2 linked regions of the Nothobranchius furzeri genome follow. The protein of the gene in region 1 interacts with the protein of each later gene in a pairwise test. Links are inferred from orthologs where the notes say so. Each region holds a gene or a part of one and is shown on either strand. Other genes may lie near its edges.

Region 1 (3,384 bases):
TGAGATATTGCATTTTCATTTAAGGTAATTACTTATTTTTTTGTTTAGTTGTTGGCCTGTGGGAAAAAGTTTGGACCACTTTTAAAACGGGAACTGGAAAGATGAATAGAATAGAAATAGACCAGAAAATCCCTTTATTGTCCCTCAGTGGGGAAAGTTTGGTGTCAAATTAGCAATAAAATTACATCAGCAAAAAAGGAGAATTAAATATAAACAAGAAAACGTAAAAAAGAAATACAAACCAATTCAAAAGATTAATAATAAAAACTGGAGGCATAATAAGTAATGAATACCACTGACACGTTTTGTTGAAAATTGACTTGCTCGTGTGCAGTTTGGTTACTCCACATTCAGTGTTACTGCAAAAATAAGTTAGTTTCCAAATGAAAAGGTTCAACAGCATCTGTAGATAAAAGAAAATGTGCACATTTGTATGTCTAAATATTAAAGAGCAAGTAACGCATCGTAAACTAACTTGTTTTTGCTGATAACCTGTAGAGATGAGTGTCTAATGGTGCTGTACACACGTGTAATCATTAGTGTGGCAGTTTAGCGCAACTTACTCTAAATGTAATATTTCAGCCCAAAACCATAATTATATCTCCATCTTCAGGTTAAAAACTGCTCCACATTTATGTAGAACCAGCTGTAGCTGAAAAACGTCACGTTATCCGCAAATAACTACGTGGCTGCACCGCTCTGGTCTCCAGGTGAGGCAGCCGCACCTCCACCCGACTCGGCCACTCACCTGCCGGTTTGACACATTAGCGCTGGCAGCCGCTCGCCTACTGGAAAAAAATGCCCTCCTCCCCCTTTTCATCTAATGATCACGATTGCCCCGTAACAGGAAACCCTTCAGGATGCTGCAGAATCTGTGTTTGCTTTCCTCCTGAGCGGTAAGTCTTGTGTGAGTGTGTGCTTGTGTGCACACGCACGCGCTCGTTAACAACTCCATTTTAGATAGAGAAACTCCAACAGTGCACACGGGGGCGTTGAGGGGGGTGCGGTCTACCGCTGCCTCAGTGCCGCTCTCTCGGTCCACCAGGAGACGCCTCTTTCAGAAGCGTTTTCCTAACAGGAAGTGTGGATGAAATGCGTCTCCACCCATGCCTTGACCCTCACTTAAGTTTGGCCCGCAACTTCGTCCCAGTTTTTTTTTTTTTCTTTTCATTTCGGCCCAGTTTGAGTTTGAGTTCGACACCTCTGCTCCAGAGGCTGAGATGACGTCAGATTGAGCCCACATGAGATCACCGTTTAGCTCCGCCCTCTTAAGCAGCCAGTGGATCACATGGGGAAGAGGAAATTCAGTTCTTTGGTTTTGTGCAGTTTTGCCTCTAGAACGATTTTGTATTTTTAAGATCTTTTTCTTTTTGTGAACAGCTTCTGGAGAAGGCTGAAGCCAGAGAGAGGGAGCGAGAGAAAGAGGAAGCCCGCAAGATGAAAAGAAAAGAAGCTGCTTTCAAGACCATGCTGAAGCAGGCCACGCCGCCTCTGGAGCCGGATGCATCGTGGGAGGAAGTACGTGGTTTCAGTTAGATCACTCTCCATCACATTCACTCGTGATTGGGCCTCGTGTTTAGTGACGAGCGGCATCTGACCCTTTCAGGTCAGAGAAAGATTCCTGAAAGAGTCCGCCTTTGAGGATGTGACGCTGGAGTCGGAGAGGAAGAGGATTTTCAAAGATTTCATGCATGTTCTGGAGGTAAGGTCACCACGATGACATTTGGAACTGATTTATCAGGCCTGATAACGGTGACGATCAGCGGTTTGGTCTGCTTTTTCAGCACGAGTGTCAGCATCACCACTCCAAGACAAAGAAGCATTCAAAGAAGTCCAAGAAGCACCACAGGAAACGATCCCGCTCTCGATCGGTGTGGACCTCACCGGCTACTTTTGTTTTCCTCCTCTTTGGACCTGCTAATCTTTAACCTTCTTATTCATTAGGCTTCAGAGTCTGAGGATGAGGATTACCACAAGAAGAAGAAGAGGTCACAGTCAAAGTCTCCTTCAGAGCGCTCATCGAGTGGAGAATCTGGTGAGTGTTTCTGTTAGCGAATCGCTTTACGGAAGCGTTTGAATTCACCGACACGTTTCTGTCTGAAACTAGAGCGAAGCTATAAAAAATCCAAGAAGCACAAGAAGAAGGGCAAGAAGAGGCGCCACAAGTCTGTAAGTACACAAGCCTTTTGTGGATGTGGTGTTAAAAATTACCCAGCATGCAATTAGCTGATAACCGCAACCAACAGGCATCGCCGGAGTCTGACAGCGAGAAGAAAGGAAGAGACCGTGACGGGAAGCGTGAACGAGATTCAGAGAAGGATAAAGAGAACGACAAGTCTCGGTCTAAATCTCGCACCGAGTCCAAACAGAAGTCTCCTAAAAGAAAAGCAGCCAAAGAGGAGGTGAATTCCCATCATTTAATACGATTTCCAAAAGATTTTGGTAGTTAAAGTCCCACAAACCCGAGAGACTGATTTAGGTTTTCCTGCTCAGGGCGGCTGGGATACATCAGGCAGTGAGCTGAGTGAAGGAGAGCTGGAGAAAAGGAGAAGAACTTTACTGGAACAGCTGGATGCACCTTGATGCTTCTCTTTTTGCTACTTGTACATTTCAACTAAAGCATTCCCTGCATCTGACCGCGCTGTTCACTGAAGACGTCTCTCACTGGTTTTAAGGGGAATGTGCTCATGTACTGATCTTACGCGCTCGGTTCGTCTCATTTGATATCCGGAAGCTCCTCATTTTAAGTATTTCCTATAGTCGGATGTAGTTGTACGTTTCCCATTGCTGATTTTTTTTTTTTTAATTAAAGGCATATCTTAAAGTCACGCTCAGCGTCTTCACCAAATTGTCGTCAAGTAAAGTTATTGAAAGTGGCAGTGTGTAGTTTCCTGGCACTAGGGGGCGGTACATTCATTTCAGGGTAGTTTTCCACCATATCGCCATAGTTTAAAAAAAACCATCAAGGTAAATTTGGTTACCTGTGGAGCAGAAAGCATGCGACCTGTGTCTCTCCTCAGACTTTGATGATCCTTCAGTTAATTCCGTTAAGGGAACGCGATGCTGGGGCTAGTTTTCTGGATCTGCTCGGAGTCCTGCCTGCTGATGTCATACTACGGCAAAACCATTTAGACAAAATATATTGCATGTCTTTTTAGATTCTGTTCTTTAACAAAGGTTTCATTAAGAGTTTAGCAGTTTTGTTTTTAAATCAGTGTTTTTTACTGCTGGAATGTTTTCGAACATGGCAACGTAACTTGCGTAAGTCGTAATTCCAGCCTACGTCTGGTGTGATGTCATCGAGAAGAGCAGGACCCCAAGCCGACCAGTTTAAAATATGGCGTCCCCCAGACACTTAAACCCGTTCCCTATGTACTTTAAACC
Region 2 (3,655 bases), on another chromosome or scaffold:
CTAATTTGGAAAAAATAATACCTCTGAGACCAAATTTAACACTTTTAATGGCCTTAAATTTGACTATTTTTATTTATCACTTTTTAATACTTTTTAAAACCCCGCGGACACCCTGGGATTGTTTCAGTTCAAAACAGTTCGATAATCTTTGCCCAGCTCTGGTGTCACAGGAGGTTTTCAGTGCAGTTAACAAAAATTTACTCAACTAAATTTCAGAGCCACACACACACACACACACACACACCTGGAACGAGTCTCGACCTGGTTTCTGCAGGTGGGAAAGCGCGAGACAACTTTAAAAGCGGCAGACATCTGTTCCCAACCGGCACCACGGAGCCTACATGACCCGTTCTTTGATACAACTTGTCGTGTGCGTCGGACTCTAGCTGTAACAGAACACTGATCTCCTACCTCACACTCGGATTTGCTGGCAGGTCCCTTTGTGCCTCGGATCTTGTCCTTCAGGTCCAGATTGTGGATGAAGGTGTATCCTTCCTGTGGGGGGAAGTAGGGCTCCCCTTTCTGCCCAAAGTTGAACTCAACAGCACAATTTTTCACGAGCACATGAGGGAACAGGGCTCGCCCAGCCAGAGCCTCCTTTGTCGTACGGAACGCCACGCCCAGTTGGACGCCATTCTTGGTGTATCCCATCTCCACCTCGTCACCGTTTTCGAAGTCCTGCAGGAAATGAGTTTTAAAAGAAGCACCACGACCGTCACTTCCGGTTAAAACAAATGTTCGGTACAGGACACAGGAAATAAGGAGCCACACTTATGGAAACTAACTGAATTAATATCTACTGGATTCAGACCAGCGGTAACCTTATATTAGAGAAAATGCAAATGCAATAAAGGAAAAACGGAATCTTTTATACATTTTTTGCAGATAAAATATCAGCAACAAAAACATTATTAGAGCTCCAAACACGTCAGTAAAATAAATCTTCTGAATGTTAAGGAGCAATTTACTTTGGTATTGATGCAGTAATTACAGGTATTCTCAGTTTACTCACAACGTAACAGCCGATGACGTCGCTTTCACCAAACTTCTCACCAAAGTCGGCAAACTTGCAGTCAACGGATTTCTTCCCCGTTCCTCCGTATCCAAAGGAAAAAGGTTCTTCACCTAGAAAACAGGAAAAACAGACGTTTGTTAAATAAATCATTTCTAAAAAAAAACAAATGGGAAATTCTTCTGCTTTAAAATACATTATAACATAAACATAATAAACAAAATTATGTATGTGTGAAGTTTTTTATTCTTTTTTAAGAAAACAGGTTTAATTATGAGGTTTATGCATCAAACACGTTATTTTAATCTAAATTAAATGTTTCCTTGTCACGATGTTCCATAAAAGCAAAACTGTTGAGAAATTCTGGTTTCGATCATTTAGGAAACGGAGAAAAGAATCTACCGACACTTCTTTTCATTTACTCATGATTAGGGTTGTCACGGTAACCGGTGTAGTGGTAAACCCCGGTAAAAAGTTGACAATAATAATAACCGTCTTGTTTTTTAAAACTATATTATCTCGGTGGATTACCGTGGCTGCGGTGTAGGCGCGGTGACCCTTACCAGCCACCGTATCATCTGCTGAAGTTGCCGGTGGCACATGCGCACTTTGTTGTTTACAACCAAAACTTTCTTGAAGCTAAAGCTGAAATAATGGCCAAAGGAGGAGACGGCAGCGCTCAGGACATTTATTATCCCTCAAAGAAGACAAAGTGGGAAGTACGGGCATCTTTCGGATATTTGAAGAATGCCGAGGGACAGCTGATAGAAGACGGCTATCCTGTTTGCAGCACGTGTAGAAAAAGTGTCTGTGAAAGGCAGCAACGCTTCAAATCTCATGACACATCTGCGTGACCATCACCCACAACTCTACAGTCAACGCAAGGCAAGCTAACGTTAGCGCTTTAGCTAAAATGCGTGATCCGAGGATTTGGGTTGAGGGAGAATGCAACGAGTCGCTATATAAAGCAGCCGCAGCGCCACTACCTGCATATAAACCGTGTCGCGGACACCGCCATGTTGAAATGACGCTATGCATTACGGGGCTCCCAGGGGCAGATAAGAGTTGGTCTCTCTCCGAGAATAATTATGAATTTAACAATGATTACTGCCTGATGACATTTTCCCACATCTGCAAAGCTCACTGGAAGGACACAAACCGAGGACGATATTTTCCTGATATAGGGTTTATTACTCAAGTAAGGGTAAAAAAGTATCTGATTAGAAGGCTACTTGAGTACTGAGTATCATCTGATCTAATATTTTTAAAATGATGACATCAAACAGACATAAAATAAGAAGTTATGAGCAAATATTGGTATTTTAAAGACTAAAGGGGAAATATGTAAACAAATAAACAACATAATTACAAAATAACACATTTTAGGCTAAATTTAGACACAAACTGAGGACAATATTTCCTGACATACAGGGTTTATTTAGTTGTGTGAAAATGTAGCACGTTTAAAAAAAATACAGCGATAATACCGAAAACCGTGGTAATTTTGGTCACAATAACCCTGAGGTTACGTTTTCACACCGTGACAACCCTACTCATGATTATGCAAATCTGAAAAACATTTAAAAAATAATGAAACGCTTTTAAAGACCGTGCAGAAACCCGCGCTCTTCTTACCGAGCTGAGTGCTGCTGTGGTTGAGGGACCATCCGATTCGAACCACGTGAGGATCCGGCTCGGTGCTCGGCAGGTGCTTCACGGGAATTTCCTCGTTTATCTGCAGGAAGAGAAACGGAGTGGTAAGTCCTTCATTCTGTGTCCACATACGCATCAACCGAGTGTAAATCACCTTCATCTCGTAGCACACGCGACCCTGGGTGACGCCATGAGTCGCTCTGGCTCCAGCCCACAGGTAAGCAAAGCCCTCAATGGTCAGCGGATAGCCACTGTACCGGTCTCGGGACACTTTGAAGTGCAAATCACAGTTGTCTAGGAGGGGAAAGAGAAAGTTCAGGTGTGCTTTAAATCATTATTTAGATTTATTTGATCTTTTTGAACCAGAAAATAAGGTCTCGTGTTTTCAGCGCCTCCTTTGGAAACTAATAAGTTATTTTTCACTCCATAATATAGTAAAAATGTTTAAAAAAACAATGACAACAAACAGTCACCCTACCCCTAACAAAGCAAACAGGGTTTAGTTTGCTGCTGCTCAACAGCAACAGAAGCTGTTCCACTAAGTCACTTTATTTATTAAAAAGGTGAACTGGGATCATGTCCTGTTTTTGGTAACGTTTCAGACTTGGTTGATATGTGAATGTGACCGTATCAGATCTGAGTGTTGAGTCTAACCCAGCAGCTGTGTCTGGAGCCTCTGTGTTACTGAGAACTGAGGCTGCTGCAGCCAGAACCAACACCAAGCACTAAGTTCATGGCAGACCAATCTCCAGACCACAGCTGATTTGGAAAACAAGATTTCAGACCTCTCAGTGGAAACGGAGGACGTGATTAGCGTTAGCCTCAAATCCAGCTAACTCTGACCCGTTAGAACGCCTCCAGCAGAAGAAACGAGAGCCGTCACTTGAATTTTTACACCAAATGTGGGTTTTTAAAGATGAAAAAGTAAAAGTTTGAACTTACATGGATCAATTGTCACTAGAGTGTCGTCAATGTTCTCCTCCTCATCTT

Evidence for each region. The genes of interacting proteins can lie anywhere in the genome.
Region 2: the proteins of prpf40a (region 1) and hnrnpul1 interact in a two-hybrid assay, tested with the Homo sapiens proteins (2 studies listed by BioGRID and IntAct). The link is inferred for Nothobranchius furzeri from reciprocal best matches to the Homo sapiens genes PRPF40A and HNRNPUL1.

What each region holds. Positions count from the first base shown.
Region 1 is NC_091754.1:18,325,666-18,329,049, reverse strand, and holds the end of prpf40a (pre-mRNA-processing factor 40 homolog A), read left to right. Parts: intron 1-1,380; coding exon 1,381-1,518; intron 1,519-1,606; coding exon 1,607-1,702; intron 1,703-1,784; coding exon 1,785-1,871; intron 1,872-1,944; coding exon 1,945-2,035; intron 2,036-2,107; coding exon 2,108-2,169; intron 2,170-2,246; coding exon 2,247-2,402; intron 2,403-2,493; coding exon 2,494-2,583; 3' UTR 2,584-2,828; downstream 2,829-3,384.
Region 2 is NC_091753.1:58,652,013-58,655,667, reverse strand, and holds part of hnrnpul1 (heterogeneous nuclear ribonucleoprotein U-like protein 1), read right to left. Parts: coding exon 3,608-3,655; intron 2,960-3,607; coding exon 2,820-2,959; intron 2,748-2,819; coding exon 2,648-2,747; intron 1,126-2,647; coding exon 1,013-1,125; intron 679-1,012; coding exon 412-678; intron 1-411.